2 linked regions of the Caenorhabditis elegans genome follow. The protein of the gene in region 1 interacts with the protein of each later gene in a pairwise test. Each region holds a gene or a part of one and is shown in the gene's direction. Other genes may lie near its edges. The genes, in order: K09G1.1 and abts-2.

Region 1 (9,986 bases):
AAAGAATGGGGCATGAATCATCAATGAAAGTTTATGACGGGACAATCGAGCTCTTCGAAGTTCCGAAAGTCCATCAACATCTTTCTTTACTATCTTATCTTTTTCGGATACACGTTCTGGTGATGATTCGCGGGAAGAAGATGATGAACGAGAGCTTTCGCTTGAACTAGACGAACTTGAAGATCCCGAATTAGCTCCAAAAACAGCATCGATAGAGAGTGCTTCGTTTTTTGCATTTTTCTTTTCGATCTCTTTACGTTTGTTCTTCAGAGCATCCATAGCATTCTTCTCTTTATGTTTGCGGTTAATCTGGAATAAAAATTTTTATTTGAAAAATAAAAAAATAAACTTACATCACTGGGTCGGTGGAAAGCAGCATCCATCTCAGAATCGGAATCCGATGAAGCTTTGCGTTTCGGGGAACCTGCATCACTTCCACCACTGTTCATTTTCCTTCGTTTTTCGGTTTTGACTCCCTTTTCAGAACTTTTCTTTGCTTTTTTAGCAAGTTGTTGAGCAATTTCTTCTCGAGCAATCGCGTTTTCACGAGCCTCCATCCTTTCAAAAATTTCTTGCTCCTTTTCCAATTCTGTCAATTTCTTCCATCTTGCTTTGTCTTCTTTGTCAGCAAATAAATCATCATCTACTTGGTCATCGTCACTACTTCCAGTAGCTCGCCGCTTTCGCTTTGTTAAAGTCTTCTTTTTTGCAGGCTTTGCCCTGAAAATGGAAACTCGTATAACTTTTTTTTGGATAGAAAACAGTAAAACTCACTGTGGTTTTTCGGCATCTGAATCGGATGCCGAGGAGTCGGTACTGAGAGGTTTTCCAGGTTTTGGACCTGCGTCTGAGTCAGAATCGGAATCTGAAGTGGCTGGAGCACGGCGTTTTGTCTCTTCGTCTGATGAAGCACTCTCAGAGGAAGACATTGTTGATTAAACTGACCCTGAGAACATAATTATGAATTGAATAAATTATTAGAGAACGGTGAGAAGAAACGGTTGTATAAAAGTGATGTAGAGCGTCTGACATTTGTTCTGGGAAAATCGATATCGACACACAGTTGCAAGATGGCTACGAACAATAGGTTTCATACAAATATTTAAACAAATAAAAGAAACAAGGAAAAGTGTCATATTTTTAATGATATATGCGCGTTTTTGTCGAAAATATTCGAAAAATTAAGAAAAAACTTAAGTTTCTCAAAAAATGTGTCAATATTGGATTCGAGAAACAAAAAGGACGGGTGCAATAAAGTTTTTCTACTCTTTGAATTAAGATAATAATAAAGAATCATTAAAAATCAATTATAATAACGAAAAACCAAAGAAAATACCGAAAATTAAGAATAAATTTTTACATTCAAACTGCACAGTGTCAATACATTTAGTCCCGCCCACTTTGCAAGCCGCGCACGCTATTTTGCAAGGTTGTCGCACACAATTGGGATATTGGCTTCTGTTGCTGTAGGTCATGGTGCAAGCTATGTATATTTAATGGATTTATATATAAATACCAAACACTTTTATAATCGATAAGGAAATTGAGAGACACTCCCATTTTCTGAAGTTTAGAAAAACTAATTCTTTAGTGCCCATCCTGTGGGAATCCGAAGTGTTCTTATAGGTTTTTCAAATCTCTTATGCTCTCACAGTATTCTCAAAAACCATTAATCAAGAAAAAAACATAAGAAGAGACAAGGGTAGATGGCTTACGGAAATACAACCCCTTTTCCAGGTTAAACGATGTAAGAGAAGAAAAAACGAAAAAAGAAAGATCAAATGCTCTTTAGTGAACAGTTGTTCTATTAAAGTGTTTAGGTAGACCTGGAGATACAGAGAATCAGAAATAAAGGATAATCTTTCTTTTCGTGTTTCCTGTTGCCATTCGACAATTAGTAGAAGTAGTAAGCGAAGTTTTCGAAGAAAATGAAGAATTTGCGGTTCGAATCCCATCGACACAATGGAGGAGCAGCTGAGGCAGAGTTTAATTTTGGTAAGTTATCTGATTATTGAAATACTGCATGTTTTCTTTCTACGAGTTTTTAAGAGAGACTCATTTGTGTTTAATACATAAAAAATTCCGTATAACGCAGACGTTTAGATATTTTAATGTTGGTTATACTTTACTCGCAGGGGTCTCGCCACTCGGACAACGAGTTACTGTAGCTCGTATCAATTTACGGCCCTCTATATATTTGTATATGCGCCTTCAAGATTACGGTAAATAATTGCGAAACAAAATCTTGATGTCCAATTCAACAAATGTTCACATTAGTAACATTCAATTTTAATTTAACGCTAAATATAGAGACTTTCTGTAAAAAACCCGATTTCACATTGATTGTCTAACTTTTTCAGTCCGAGTTGCCCGTATAAAATTTCAAAAGACTTTGTGAACGTATTTTATCTTATTATTCTTTTAAAGCTTCAGAACTCAAAACTTTCCAAATGTTCATATTTTCTCGAACACAATCCATTTTGCTTTTCCGACAGTTCTAACCATCAAGTACATGTTTATCCAGCCAAGTGGTTTCTCCTCTCTATATCACTTTCATTCTAATCGATCTCTCTTCCTTCTCACAAAACCGGCAATTGTATTGCGTGACGACGTACCTCTCATCACGCATTCTGAATGAATATTGAAAATTTGAATATTTGAAATGGCTATGAGCCTGCAACGTTCACTACTTTATTAGAACTCATCATGATTACTCATCTACCTGCCAGCCGATTGGAAGATTACTACTTGACTTCAATTTTAGGTGATTTTAATTTATTTTCTTTCTTCTCTTCATCACCAAAATGAAATAAAAAGAAACAAATCAATCATGCCACACCTCGAATGATTAGTACTAGACATTACTGAAATTAAAGAGACTTAGACAGTCATTCAACTGATTTGATAACTTGAAAATTTCTTGGAGTAAGTAAAAGATATGACTCTGTTCAATGCTTGAAGTGCCACGTCACAAGAGGAATGTTTCTCTGAATCTCTTAGAGACACACATTATTTTTTATTGAGTGCTTCACCTATTTCTTCTTGCCAAAAACCATTCCCGTTCAATCTCTATTGCTGAGCAAACAGTGTACCAAGACAAAAAGTTAAGGATGGCTCCAAACTTTTTCCCTTTTCTTCAAAGTTTCGTTTCCAGACCGTACCTTTTTTTCTTTTTTTCAATTCTAACTTTCAGTCTTGAATAATAATAATATATACATTACTTTCGATATCAAAACAAATGTCAGCTCCTCCTATCCGTTCTCTCATTTTTGGTCTCCCAACTTTAGTTACAGTCCTTCTCGTCTTCTTTTTCTTCTTATTGTCGTTCGTTTTTTTTTGTTGCATTCTTGATTGACTGCCCAGTCGACAGACAATGAAAAAAGAAACAGATGACGAAAAATCAGTAGCTACGGCGCTTCGATCCACTGCTGGTTTTACGGCGGCTATTCCTGTTGAAGGTATTTGAGTTAGGAATGCGTAAACCTAGAAGCTCGGTGTCTAAATTTGCTTGTTTTAGATCATGAACTTTGTGAAAAGAACTTGTGAATTCACTTTAAGTTCTAAAAAATAGGCTAGAGATTCCATCTAGATATGCTTTACTTGAATTCTGTTTTCACATTTAGAAACCAGGAAGCTAAAATTAATGTCTCGTTATAAGTTTCATATCGTACAACTGAACTTTTTTTCATTTCTCCCTATTTTCTTCATCTTATCACCTTCTTTCAAAACAAGAACGATTGAAGGAAAAATGAAGACATTCGGAGTTTTTTTTGGTCATTTCGGTGATGGCCTTCTTATTTCCAATTATCAGTTTTATTGCTGATAAATTTGATTCAAAGTTCCTAGAGTTGGTTCTAAATAGATTAAATAAATTTGTATCAAATGATTTCAAAAAATTCAAATATACTGCATATTAAATGTATATTAAATGTCGAGATACAAGATAGTTACAGCATTTTTACCATTAGACATGCACCATATTACTCCATTTTTTAGCAATTATTTTAGTTCATTTGCAGATATCAACGAATCTAATTACAAAATTACATTGGGGTTTTGTCTATGAATACTTCATTTTTAAACAAAGAACCCGAGTTATGAGCTATTAAAGTTGAGTAATGGTCAGTACGACTTCTACGGAAAATATGAGGTCTCTGTTAGTTTAGAAGAAACAAATTATCACGAGCATTATTAATGTCGAAGATTACTGAGCTACTTGTCCTATAGTTTCACACTGCAATAGTTTTTCATTTGTTTTTCCGTTTCTGAGTAGGAGTAGTAAATCTTTTGTTTGCTCACTGCAAACCTAGAATGTACAGTCAGGTGATTCCATCTACACAATTGTTTCATAGACTCCAAAAACAAATGAGTTTTCTTACGAGTAATGTTCTTAGTTTTTAATTTCTAACACTATGTTCTTGCACTATCACTGATTTGTGACCTTTTCTCTACCTTTTTTCAATTGACTCAGGAAGATTGTTGCAGGGGAAGTACGTCGTGCGGCTGCCAGTTTTCAAGAAAATCCACAAGAAGACGGAAAAATGAGTGAAACAGAAATCATCACAATCCGCAAACCGGACGGAACCACCGAAACCAAGACAGTGGTACGTGTTTGTGTGAGTCCGTGTAACCTGCCCCCGCAACGAACGAACAGGGAAAAAATGCTGGGGAGAAGCATGAGCAGTTGCTTGAGAAGCTTTTGATAATGAAAGGTGTTAGGGATGTTAGTGGTGATTTTGACATGTATCTTGATACGTTTGATACGTTTGAACACATCGAAATCTTTTGCCAAGTGCTTTTCAATCAGCCGGTTTTCAGTTGTTTATAATTAGTATTGGCAAAAATAACCATTTTTTGACAATTTTTGCCAATTCAACAAATTTAAATCAAGTACTATAAAATTTGTAAAAAATATTATGTTTGTCAAATTCAAAAATTATGTTAAGTGCTTTCATTCAAATAACTGTTTTCAAAAGTGTTTTTTTTTTCAAAATTGAACAGGATTTTTAAATAAGGAAGTTTTAAAATATGTTCCAATAGTTTCGGACAGCTAACCTAATCTAAAAAATCCATGTGGTGTTTATTCAGACATGTCATGTCATCATGAGAATGTATAATTATGAGTACTAGTAGTTGGTGCTATTGATAGATCCGGTTCACCCCTCTTCTTTTTCATACAGTCCCACTTTTTCACCGATTTGATCCTATCCATTTTGCTGTTTCATTTCTCTATCCTCCCAGTCTACCAGTTATTTATTTACCTGTCCATTTATTCGATCGATTCAAATTCACTTCTGTATTTATTCTTTCGACCGTCGTCGTTGCTTTACAAAAGGTAACTGAAGACCGCCTAATGATAGACGTAGACGAATGGATTGAAGATTTTTTTTACAATAAGAAAAATAGATGAAGAATACGGAAAAACCACACCTTCTTATCATTTTTTGTTCTTGTTTTGGTTTGGTTTAACTTCGTTGAAATAGATTGACCGGAAGAAGTTTTATTTAAAATTAATTTAAAATTATTATTAAACACACTTCATTTTAAGAATCATTCAGAAAATTTCCAATGGGAATTTTTCAGGTTTTTTCTCCCGATACATCGTTTTTTGGTTGAATGCATATTTTCCAAAGCCCATTGAGAAACTAAACATGGTCATAACTTTGCAATGTTTTATAGAAATGAAATATGTGAGATTGTGTGCCAAATTGAGCCAAATATGCAACTGTAAATACTTTATGAAACTATTTTATGTATCTTTTTGTGTTGACATACTTGACAAATCTCAAGCAATTGTTTTTCGTCGACCAAGATATAAGATTACATATCATCGATATCAAGATACAACCTATTTTTCTTAAAAAACCGCAATTATATGATTCACTCCAAGCTGATTTGGACACTGTGGTTTTAAATACCTCTTTTTGTAGAACCACGAAAAAGGCGAACAAACAAATTGAAAATATTTATTTTTTACTTTTTTTGATAGAAGAATGGGAACACCAAAGTGTATTTTAGTGTTTTATCACCCCGTTGGAAAGATAGAAATCATTCCAAGGTCAGTTTCTATTTCTCTTAGTATCTCATCTTCTTCCTTTTCCTCTCTCCTGAAATCTAAATTCCCATTTGCCTCCATTTCCGGATGTTTTCCACTTGAAGAAAAGAACATGACCCTCTCGTTATTTGACTTTGAGGAGTGATGTCCACATAGTTTCCGAACGTGAAAAGTGACACTTTGGAATCGTGTCTTCACTATGCCTCGATTCATTTCATGATGCGGAAGAATGATTTTCAATTGGCCATTCACAATGACATTTTGTTTATTTTTTGAAATTACCTAGAATTTATCAAATTGGATTGTTTTTCTCTAGTAATCAGCTAGGTTTATTTCATATCTTCTCGAGATTTTTTTTTTCATTTCCTTTAATGATACAATTATTTTTTAAATAAGAAATCGGATTTCAATTTCACTCAAAACACTTAAAAAATCACGAACGTCTGTTTCATACATGAATTAATACAATTTTGTATCGTTTGCAGTTCTATGTTTGTTCTGAAATTGTCAGGAAAAATACACGCAAATTTAAGGTAGCACAGTAAAGGTCCATGTCGCGATAACCCAAAAATACCAAACAATCTAAAAATATTTACGAAAAAACACGAATTCAGAAATAAATTAGAGCAATGTGCACAATGTTTAGATAAAAGTAAGTAAAGCTTAATTAGAATAGAAAATTTGAAGGAAAATAAACAGTTTTTTGGTCGAGTTCGAAACCTTTCTACAGAAAATGTGGTTTATGAGTACCATCTTCATTTTAAATCATTGAATTATTAGAAGAATGATTAATAACTAAACGACGATACCTATTCACCCAGAAGTATATATTCATTATATGTATATTTTCACTCAGTGATTTGCAAAGAACCCAAAAACCTTCACAATATCTTTCTAATGTGAAACATAACAGTTAGATTTATCCAATGTCTACAAGTACAATAGTCTCTCGATCTCTCATCTCGATTCTTGACCGCGTAATGCTATCATCACTTACGGATCTTCTTCTTCCCAATTTCCTTCTCCGGTCTTTTCTGTGTCTCTTCTTTTCAACTTCGATATTACTACTATATACACGTATCTTCTGTCACTTTTCTCCGAAGAACCAGGTCATGACTGTGTCTGTATTTATTTACAAAACTCACATTTTATTCTTTTTCTTCTTCTTTTTTTTTACTTTTCCACGCTTTATCGATACTTTTTGTGTTCTTGCTTTTGCCTTTTTGTAAAAAAATTGACAATGCATGTTTCTTGGCTTTGTCATCAAAAGACGAATACCCGAAAACATCCAAATAAAAGGAATCTAAAAAAGTTTGGAATTCTCCCAATACCTGTTTTTCTTTTTCATATTTTCCTTTTCTCTTCAACTTACCTATCCATAATCATAATCCTTCTACCATTGAAGAATAGAAAATGATGCAAACCGAAGAGGGAACAACCGTTGAATTGGGACCGGCCAAGGACGTACCCCATTCTGATGACATCACAAGACCTGATTCTTCTCCAAAGAAGGTTCCTAACTTAAGATTCAAATTTTAAAGCACTTAGAAATATTATTAATAACCCTAATTAAATGCACCAACCTTTTTGATAATGTGCAGGGCAGGTACACAAAATGTTAAAAATTTAAAATTATTTTTTAAACATCAAGTTATTTCAGGAGAAAAAGAAGCTTCAATTCCATATGGCTAATAAGGTGAAAATCATTCCAACAAACCGTCAAGGACAACTCAACACTGGTTACTTGGCAACACTTGCCGGAGTTTTGAAGATTGCTGAAATTGTGAGTTTGGAATGTGCTCATCCTCCTAATTTTTGAAGCTGTATTGCATGTCAATAGTTATTTTAAATTGAAAGATCGGCGGCAAAATAAGTCGAGTCACATCTATATTGTAGGCAGACAAGTAGTAATTTTTTGCTTGCAAATCATAAAACCTGAATACTTAACAGGTTCTTTCTTTCATCGCCTTCATCCTTGCCATCTGTGCTGATCGTCGAACAACAACAGCCGCCTGGACTGAGCATATCTCATTTGAAACTCTTCTTATTGTTTCTGCACTTCTTCTTGGTTATGTAGTCTTCCCACATCTTACCATCAAAGATGAAGCCACGAGAGAGGGACTTATTGTTGTGGTAATTACCAGGTTCATGCCGATCGAATCATAGATTTTGAAAAATTTAGGAGCTGATCTTCTATGGAGTCAACACTCTTTTGTACTTCATCTCAATCTGGTTAATGGTTCATTTGTCTGCTAGCTGGGGAACGGATGGAAGAGGAGCTGCTATTATGACTGCTGTAAGTATTTGTTTTCATAGTTACAGTTGCATTATATTGTTTTCACTTGCAAAATACATTAATTTCAGGTGATCTGCGTCGCCTTAACAGTATTGTTTGCTATTGAAACCGTCGTGAAGCTGAAGGCGTGGAGAGGAGAAAACGAGCCAACAACTGTGATTGAAGCCGGAAATGCTCAAGCTTAAATAAAAGTTCTTTCAAACTGACCAATTGTGATGATCCATTCTTAGCCTCCATTCAATTTGACTAGTCCTCAATCCAAATATTGAATTGCCAACGTTTATCAACCAAAAACCTTATATTTTCTTATTCTCACTTCACTTATAATTTTTCAAGAGCCTTTCCAATTTGTGTTGTATTGTTTAACGCTCACAGGTAGAATTAGCATTTTTATTGTTCTGAAACTTGACATTTGTTTTTCAATATGAAATTGCTTTCATAAATTTTTAATAAATTTATTTGGCCGTTTTGAATATTTCTTGCAATTGGAAAGTTATTAAAAGTTCACGGACGTTATTAAGATTGCAACGTTGCAAAACTCACGTAACGAATTCGAAAAACAGACCATTTCCAATGAAAATTTATTGCTTAATTTACTTGTGGCAAAATTCGACGGAAAGTTCAAAAAATGGTAAGTGAAATCCAATGCTGACTGTTCTTCAAAATCGTTTTTGAAGGAAAATAGCAATTCGACTCGCACTGCGATTCCAAAAACTGAAACTTCAATGTCCGAGAAGAAAAAGAAACCCGACAGCCTAAGAGCAGAAACTCCACAACCGAAAAGATCTACAGGCATTAAGGTATGTTATTGTGCATTTGTTTTGTAGTTCAATTTTATGTTTTTTAGGATGTAATCGATATAATCTGGGCTGCTCTCATCTTCGTTCTCATGATTGTCGTTCGGTTCCTTCATTCTGCATTCGAGATTCTTTCCGACATATTTGTGAAAGTCTATCGTATTCTTATCTTTTGCTACCGTAAACCAAATCATGCAAAAGAGCTCTTCAAATCAACTCTCAATATTATCAAAGTATCCTATGATGCTGAGATCTGGACTTGGACTGATATGTGGGAAATCTTCAAGTCTCATTTGGTAACTCCAATGACAAAACAGCCACCCGCACGTCCAGCTCCTCAATCTGCTAAACAAAAATAGGAAGGAAGAAATACAACATTGAAACGAGGAAACTAATAAAGCTTGTCGATTTAAAATTTTTGTTGTTTGGTACAATCTGATTGTTTTCTCAAAGGCAGCTGTTTATTATTTGCAATCTAAGTTATTTGTTGTTATAATATAGGGATTTAATGGAGCCTTAGATTCAGGCAGCGGCACCAACATCAACCCTGCCTACTCCAAGACTGATCACGCGAGACAGGTCAGACAGGCGTTTAGACACCTATTTGGAATACCTATTCAAACATGAGCTTCTCCTCTTCAGACGTCATAAAACTTTTAGTTCCCAGAAGGAAGTTGTCTTCCTCTCATCCTTTTCTCAATTATAATGCGCCCCCGCCCCAATTTCAATCTCCGGGACTCTTTCCACGTTTTCAACCCTTTTTTCAATAAGTGTGTTATGCACCTTGAAGAGTCTAAAAATATGTTGACCTATTTGAAAAAAAGTTGAGAAAGGAAAG
Region 2 (8,859 bases), on another chromosome or scaffold:
CTAGTTGTAGCAGCGAGTATTATATTACAAGAAAGGTTAGTGATTTAGAGATTTCTAATGTATATTTTTCCACTGTATGCTGATTGATTAATTATGAGATTATTATTTAAATACAGTCGTGACGTCATGATGTGTACTTATATACATTATTTAAAATTACTTGAATAGTCCCATTACAAAGCATTATGATAGAAAACCGAACTTCAATTGTGTTTTGAAAACTTAAAAATGGAGTACGGTCAGTGGGTATTTCCTTTAGTTTTTTATGTTTTAATTAGGTTTCATATTTCAACATCGTAGGAGTTTGAACATGTGGCAGTGCTTCTGATTTCTCGAAAAGTGGTTCAAACTCGTTTTTAACCGCTTTTGACTCCAAATATATATGTTTTTTTTATTGTTAAAATGATATTTAGTCATTTTAAAATCATTATAGTGTGTTTTAGTCATTTCCCCACTATCCGTTTTCAAGTCGTATGCGAAAAATTTCAACCGAGATTAGAAAAAAATACATTTGATTTTTATTTAAAAAAAATATTTGATTCAGGATTTCGGTAAACCAGAACCGCAATTGGCCAATGTTCTAAAAGAGTTTTATTGGAAAGAACTAGTTTACTCTAAAGACATGAGATTAATAAACGAAGTAAGTTCACGACAAAATAAAGTTTGTAACAATTATCGCATTTTTAGTCTTTCTTCAATAAGATCAAAGATGACGTGGTAGACTGCAGATTTTTAAAAGAACTTTTTGGATCGCTGAAGGAGCTTCCTCCCATCCATCAGCCGTTAATTGATGCACTGAGGGAATCCTCGAATGAGTAAGGTGATTTTTTGCAAGTGACGTAACAATAATTTTTTGCAGACCTGAAGACTCAAAAGCAGCAATGGTAGCGCCAGTTTTACTAGCAACAGTGCACAACCTGACTCCCTTGTATCAGTCTTTGGTTCAAAACTTTCCCATTTATGTGTCTGCGCTAGATCAGTTATATCGATCAAAAATTCCATTTCGAACAATCATGTCGTTAGTTTGCAAAAATGAGTAGTGAAATTTATATCTAAACATTTGCAGAAAATTTGAATCATCAAAAGAATGCTACACCCAAGTGAATTGGATTCTTCTGAAAATTCTTAACCGCCTCATCAACTGGCAACCGGTGTTAGCGAGAGTTATTGAAATTCAGTTATCAGAATGTGGGAATGACACGGAAACAACTGCCTTTGGAGTTGCAATGGATAAAATCATCGAATTTGCAAAAAAGACCAAGGCAACCAGACAGTCACTTGAAGAATACATCCACGTTCTACAAGTTGAAAGGGATACGGGACTAGTTGGAATACTTACTCATCCAAACAGAAAAATTTTGCGTGTGGGATTTGTGCTCCGATCTGCCAGACGTGCACCATGCTGTAGGATAATGGTGCTTTGTTCCGACAGGATATTATTTGGGCACCGAGGTGTGAACTTGGACGGAAACTTTTTCACTGTTCATGCTGAATTCAAATTGAAAGGGATGATGGTATGGAATTTTAGTTAGGGAACTTCTAAAAATTTTTAATTTAAGATTGATGAAGGTGATACATACAAAGTGATGGACGGCGAAAATAATGTAATCACTCTCCACAACGCAGATATCTCTATTGTTTTTGCTGCACCAGATCGTGCATCTTGGATTGAAGACATTACAGAAGCTATTAAAAATGCGGCTAGAGCAAAGATAGATCTACCTAGTTTGGTAATGGAGAAGAAAGAGGAAAATGATATTGATAGTAAGAAAACTGCTGTTACTTTAAAACATGCTTTTAATTTTTTTCAATTTTAGTGACAAAAGTGTTGCTACCAGAAGAATCTCCCGTGTCAAAAATGAGCCCATTGCAAATTTGCTGGTATCGAAAATGCTCGTTTGGAAGAAAAGATGTCAATAAAATGATAACAAATACCATGTGTGGATATTTGAAGCGGAAACTGCGCAATTCATCCGGGTGGCAGGATTTATGGGTGGTCATGTGTTGTCACACACTGTACTTTTATAGAAATCATAACGTGAGTTCACGAAAAATAAAGAAAACAGTCAGTCACAGGTTGAGAACTGCCAAATTTCGGAAAAAAAAACGGTATTTTTGAAAAATATAGGAGATTAAATCAAACCTCTGCAATATCCAAATACAAATAGTTGGAACATTATAAGAATCTAAAATTTGTAGAAAAATATTATGTTGTTTTGTCTGCAAACAAATCAAATTCAATTATTTTTCAACATTAAGTAGTTTTCAAAATGGTACCCTTAGGCGGTACTCTCTCTATCTTTAAGAAAGATTTGTTGTTCTATTTTTGGCTTGTTGCTGAAAAATCTAAAGTAGTTGAATTTTCCAGGCACATTTTTACAGACCGACGAATACTGTTGTTAATTAATTTTTATCAATTTTAGGAGAGAGAACCACTTGCACATTTGTCCCTCATGGATTATGGTGTAGGACTGCCAACGGTTGCTGACAAGATCGACAACCATGAGAACTGCTTCAAGTTGTTCTACGGTTCACACACCTACTTTTTCCGCACCGATTCCTATTACTTTTTTGAAAGGTTTGTTCATTTTTTCCATGTCTGGATCAGATATACATTGTGTCCGTCACCTTCAATTAACTTTTTATTTCACTTGCAGATGGGTCGATTCAATCTTCCAAGCGGCAATCTCCCGCGACTCACTTGATGTCGTCACGGCTCTTGCTCTCCGCATTTGATGAATTTGTCGTTCTACTCCCTGGCCCGTTGTGAAATCATAAAAAAGTCTCATGCACGCAACAAAAATTGAATTGCTGGTATCTTTAATTTGAACTGCTCCTCTCCATTCTATTGTCATTCCTTATTAAATTGCACAAAGTTTTAAGAAATAAATTTGTAAAACATAGTCTTATTTAATAAAACCACTCCATGTCTTACTCTACCACATTCTACACAAACTATGGTACCGAAAATGCAGAGTTATCATAGAAATTGAAAGTTAACGCTACCGATGACGGACACAATTGAAACATTCTGCATATTTTTGCATTTTTAACTAATCCAGGAGTCAATGTCAACAGAAAATGACTGTTGACAGCGTCATAACTCAAATTGTATCAACGTTATTCGCATTTTATTTCAAAATATTCTAGAATATCGTTTCTAGTTTTATTCGTTTCAAAACTCTTCAACACCACATGGTTCTAATTTTAAAGCATAGTAATTCACAAAAACCATTTAAAGATACCATCTTGGAGTATTACGGTGGTTTATTGGCTCATTTGGATTGTACGAATTTAATGGATTTGTTCAAAGCCTCACTTTGAATTCGGGTTTAAATATCGTATACTTGCAAAATTGTATTCTTATGCGTGTTTTCAAGTTTTTGTTGCACTTATTTACTACTTAACTACGTTTATTCAATACTCATCAACTGTGAAATTGAGTTTCAGTAGTAATGCCTGAATTACTATGTCGAACGGAAAGGGTGGAACATGCGCGAAACTTTAAGACTGAAGTACGAGGATTAATGGATGTTGATCACTTGATTGAAAGAGCTTGCATTCATAGAAACATGAATCATTCTCATATCCACACAATTCTGTTGTCGTAAGTTTTGTATTACTTCTCTTTTCCATTGCAGTATTTTGAAAAACGGTTTAGCTAATATTTTAATCAACTAATCGTATGCTTACTTAATTTCAGGTTGTTTTCCGATCTATCCTCTCGGTTCCCACAGGAAAAGTTCGATCTGGCTCTGTTTAAAAATGCCGTGTTCTCGGTGTCTGATAGAGATTCGCGTGCTCCACGCCTTCACCATAAGCTTCAAAGTTACTCAGGAACTGACTTTTTCGACGTCAACCAAACCTGGATTGTGACATAGTGAGTTGTTTCTTTGCATATGTTTTAACTTTTATTGCTGCCACCTTCAGTGCCCAGCTTGATGGCCTAAAACAAAGCCACATGGCATTGGCGACTCTTGAGGATGCAACAAATCTTGGTCTGGAAATGGAGGAAGCTAGGACTGTGGTTCTTATTCTTTCGCCAAGCTATGAGGTGTGCATACTAAACGGCTCTCATTAATAATAGTTGTTCATGTCTAGAAACATACAAAGTCAGCAGCGGAAATTGCAAGAACTTTTGCTACCCTTTTAATGAATGACACACTCCGTCAATCTGTGAATGATGCAGCCGATGATGATCAGGTTAAAAGACAACATTAAAATCTGGGGTTGAAAAGTAAAAACTGATAATTTTTACCAAAGTCGTTTTTAATGCGGATTATAGTGTCTAGTTGCATTTTTTTAAATAAAATAATTTACTATGCATTGCTTTAACTATTAAAATTACCCGCACTAGAGTTGCTGTCAAATTGACATTGAAAATTAAAATAACTGTTCATTTTGAAATTTCGTCCCTGATAGTACTCCCCAACTTTTTGTGATTATTCTAATGTTTTTGTTTTCATAATACATTTGTGAAGTTGTCAAAAACAAATCTTTTTTTTTAAATTTAATCAAACGTGCTTGATCAAAAATTATACTTCAGAATTTTGTTTCGTTTCGTATTGCAGTGAAAATGAACAATTGAAAAATTGTAGTGCTTGCAATACTAATAGAGACAAAAATTTTATAATCTTATTTTTTTTATTCCAGCTTCGTGACCTGTTAACTGAATATGCAAAAGGGCTTTCACAACAGCTCACTATTCAAGTTAACGGAAAACCAATTGCGGATGACGATGATGAGTATGAATCAAAAAATTCTGTAAACTCACTTTGTATCTGATTTCAAATAATGTACCTTCTGCTTTCAGAGTTTTTGTCCCTACTATCCTTTCCGCGGTCTGGTCAAGGATTTCAAACGTCGCATGGCAAATTACAAATCGGATTATTTGGACGGTGAGATTTTGTGAACAAATGAAAATAACCGAGTAACGAGTTATTCTTAAAGGCATCAAGGACCGTCGATCGGTTTCCAAAGTGATTTCAACTGCAGTATTTTTGATTTTTACAATATTGCCAACGTCAATCGCATATGGAATGTTGAATGAAAACAATACGAATGGGGCGATTAGTAAGGAATACTGTAGTACATTTCAAAACAAAATCAGTTGTAGATGTACAAAAAGTGGTTCTGGGGCAATGGATTGGAAGTTTGCTTTTTGGGATATTTGGAGGTCAACAACTTTTGATTCTTTCAACCACGGCTCCATTGAGTATCTACATTGCTGGTGACACAAAAATTGAATATGTTTTATGTTCTGTAATTGTTTTTCAGTGATCTATCAAGTTGCACAGACAAACGATTGGGATTTCTTTCAAATGTACGCGTCTGTTGGGATTTACGCAATGGGTTTGCTGATTCTAGCATCAGTATTTCAGTTAGCATCACTTATGAAGTTTACAACAAGGTATTATTGAGATGATTCACGAAAACGAGCATGAGAGTTTTTAGATCCACCGAAGAAATTTTCTCAGTTTTCATTGCTCTGGCTCTTATCATAAAAGCAATTATGGCAATTGTTCACGGTAATATCAAAACTTTCTTGCAGTAAAAAACCTGTACAAATTGTTTTTGAATAATAACAAAACACATAAATTCTCAGTATTCATTCATGTTTTGCGGCTAGTACCATCAAACGCTAGACTGTCCTAGAAAAACCTTGTTCTATAAATTGTTTTGAAAAATAAATATAGTAACATCCTAAGCTCTACAATTTCTGTTTAGTTTACACTCATGGATATCTTGGATGCATTAATAATGTTGCTGGTGATCTTTGCGACCCTGCCGAACCACTTCTTTTTATCTTCCTTCTGTTTGGAACTACTTGGCTCAGTATGACAATTATTTCATTCAGAAGTTCCCCATATCTTTCAAGGTACTAATTGACAAGAATCCGTAAATCAGTAAAATTTTTAGATGGAAACGCGACTTAGTATCTGATTATGCTTTGCCAATTGCCGTTCTCGTTTTTTCATTTATTTCGTTTTTTGGTTTTAGTGATGTCAAGAGTAAGAGAAAATTTGAGGTTGAAAATTCATACTTTGATCTTATTTCAGAAGAACAATTCCAAATTTTCTCACGGGAAACCGATGCATTCTTTGTTCCTTTCTTCAATTTACCCGCTGAAGCTCAACTACCAGCAGTTGGTCTTGCCATTCCATTGTCTATTCTCTTTTTTATGGATCAACTTCTTGTTACCAATACTGTTGACAACAAAGACAATAAGTGAGTGGAGATTTATAGCTATGTCTGTCTTCCATCACATTCTTCCAGGCTGAAAAAGGGTTCTGCACATCATTGGGATCTGCTTGTTGTTGGAGTTTTAAATATTGGATTATCAATTTTCGGATTACCATGGATGCACGGAGCCCTACCATCAGCATATCTACATTTGAAGGCACTGAGTGATGTGGAAGATCGTCTACATAACGGATACATACAGACAGTGTAATGTTGACGTAGAGTACAAAGAACATTTGAGTGGAAAACAAATAATTAAAAATATATGACGATTGAAAAAAAAAACATACCCAACATTTTTGAAATAGCGGTCATGCCTACCGTGTTAAAATTGAAATGTTAAAGTACAATAACTAATATGGTGATCTTTAAAAAATTAATTTAAAACAATGAATCACTAACTTTCAGAATCGTTCACGTTCGAGAAACTCGCTTGGCAACGTTAATTGCACACATCATTATGATACCAATCTACTTCTTTTTGGTTCCACACATCACAGTATTTATTCCAACATCAATCTTTAACGGTAATCATATAGAATCAGTGAAATTTTCTGTTTTTTTTCGCAAAAAACTACAAAGAGTTTAGTTTGTGTATAAATTTGATATTTGACTAAAATGTAGAAGTTTTTTATCATAATATTTAGTGATTTAGATTTTGCAAGTGGATTGAGACAAAATCTAAATGGTTTTACTTTACCTTAAAACATACATTTACTTAGTATGCAGGGATTGGTTTTTTTTGTTTGATTTTAAAAGCAACTTTTTCATATGACATATTTTAGGTGTTTTCCTGTTCATGGCATTCAGCAGTTTGACTGGAAACGAGTTTTGGGAGCGAATCTTGCTAATTTTCACCGAACAAGTAGGACGTTCGTTTTTATTGACAATAAGATATTTGTTCCTTTTCAGCGTGCTTATCCACCAACACATTACATCCGCCGTGTTCCTCAAAGAGTGGTTCATCAATTCACGATCATTGAATTCATCCAACTTGTAATCCTTGTGGCTATCGGTTTTGCACAGTATCACTACGTTGAGATGGTGTTTCCTATTGTTATCGCAGCTTTCATTCCATTCAGGTACACCTTTTTCATAATTACAACTTCGACTCGAACATTTTCAGACACTTCTTCCTTCCGTTGTTCATCCGAAAGCAATATTTAGAAGCAATTGATGGACAGCATTGAACATGCCCACCCTATTTTTACAAAACATATAATTCACATTTTTTATAAAGCGTCTTTTGAACATTATTATTGTAATATCATATGCGTAATCAAAACAGTCTTTGGTAAAATTCGCCAATTGCATTAGTCATTGCACCAGAAACGACAAGTCATGTCTAGTCATGACCCAGCTCCAAACAAAAAAAATTGCAATAAAATTGCGGAAAATGTTAGAACAATCACAAACGAGTAATACATTAATGACAATCAATCGATATTACATTAAAATAATAGTATTGGCAGAATCTTTGAACAGATGCAGTAGGAGAGAGGATCGTGTCTAGCGAACATTTAGTTTAAGTTAACTAAGAGAAAAAGTCTAATTTTAAAGTATATAAAGTATAGTCATACAGGACAAAACCGATAATTTTTGGGTTCAACATATGGCGAGAAGGAAAGAAAGAGGGAAAAGAATATAAAAATGATGCTGAGAATTCTGAGACTTTTTGTTTTAGTTAATAGGTTTGAGAGGTTTGGAACAAAAATAAAACAAAAAAGCGACGGACCCGCGAAAAGAGTCGAATATCATTCGGAATTTGAAATATGAAATTTGAGTTTGATTGTGTTTTCAATGATTTGATGAAAATAACAAGCTTCAGAGCGACGTTACTTGCTCAACCTCTTCATCATCCTCGTAATCTTCTTCGAGGATAACCAGATCGTTGTCGGACGCATAGATTTCTTCACTAGATTCGCGAGCCAGCTTGCCTTCCTCGTGGTATCCTGTAAAACGAGAACATTATACCTAGTTATTTGTCAAATTTAATTGATTGAACTAAATTAAATGAACTATGATTGACAACTTCACATTTCCCCTTGTTTTACTTACCGCTTTCTTCAGAGAGGCTGTCTGGATCCGTCACAGGGAGCCGCAGAGTTGTCCTGTCATCATCGGAGCACACAGAACTTGCACCGGTAGTCGATGAACTGCTTGGTCCGGCATCAGACTTGTAAGTGTCACTAACTGGGAACGATGAGTTGGAGTCGACATCTGGAGCAGCACGGTAGCACACTGACTCATTGTCGTCAGAACCAAATTGCTCTTCATCTTCCTGAGAAAAACAACATAGTATTTTGTAATAGCAAAAGGTTTTTTATCTTTAAATTCAAAGAAGCAAACGCAATTCTACATTTCCAACACTCACTTCTTGTTCTTCGTCAATACTGCCCAGACGAGGCGCTGACTTTGATCGGCTAACAGGCGGACGGAAATTGAGGGTTCCAGTCTGCAAAATGAGCTTGCGACGAGGACACCCGGCTGATCCGGTGAGACGAGCATTCTGAGCAGAGAGTTTCTCACGCTTGTACTCCTGAAGTGCAGCATGCAAGAAGTTCTGAAGACGCGTGTTGATAATTCCCGGTTCGGCACTCTTCTTGCACAAAACCG

What was found.
Region 2: the proteins of K09G1.1 (region 1) and abts-2 interact in a two-hybrid assay, tested with the Caenorhabditis elegans proteins (one large-scale study listed by BioGRID).

What each region holds. Positions count from the first base shown.
Region 1 is NC_003283.11:9,581,699-9,591,684, forward strand, and holds K09G1.1 (MARVEL domain-containing protein), read left to right. Parts: upstream 1-3,373; coding exon 3,374-3,458; intron 3,459-4,485; coding exon 4,486-4,604; intron 4,605-7,460; exon of another isoform or gene 7,461-7,468; coding exon of another isoform or gene 7,469-7,567; intron 7,568-7,715; coding exon 7,716-7,838; intron 7,839-8,005; coding exon 8,006-8,188; intron 8,189-8,237; coding exon 8,238-8,351; intron 8,352-8,419; coding exon 8,420-8,536; downstream 8,537-9,986. Other genes in the region: rtfo-1 (RNA polymerase-associated protein RTF1 homolog), read right to left, coding at 1-309, 354-720, 775-929; K09G1.2 (Protein RER1), read left to right, coding at 8,980-8,982, 9,029-9,151, 9,199-9,507.
Region 2 is NC_003284.9:11,582,225-11,591,083, forward strand, and holds abts-2 (Bicarbonate transporter-like transmembrane domain-containing protein), read left to right. Parts: upstream 1-3,450; 5' UTR 3,451-3,455; coding exon 3,456-3,607; intron 3,608-3,703; coding exon 3,704-3,880; intron 3,881-3,930; coding exon 3,931-4,054; intron 4,055-4,101; coding exon 4,102-4,203; intron 4,204-4,653; coding exon 4,654-4,764; intron 4,765-4,813; coding exon 4,814-4,898; intron 4,899-4,950; coding exon 4,951-5,073; intron 5,074-5,116; coding exon 5,117-5,230; intron 5,231-5,277; coding exon 5,278-5,410; intron 5,411-5,454; coding exon 5,455-5,528; intron 5,529-5,727; coding exon 5,728-5,878; intron 5,879-5,919; coding exon 5,920-6,011; intron 6,012-6,059; coding exon 6,060-6,228; intron 6,229-6,276; coding exon 6,277-6,450; intron 6,451-6,651; coding exon 6,652-6,770; intron 6,771-7,028; coding exon 7,029-7,108; intron 7,109-7,155; coding exon 7,156-7,325; intron 7,326-7,369; coding exon 7,370-7,433; 3' UTR 7,434-7,493; downstream 7,494-8,859. Other genes in the region: F52D10.2 (PID domain-containing protein), read right to left, coding at 8,068-8,195, 8,302-8,524, 8,618-8,859.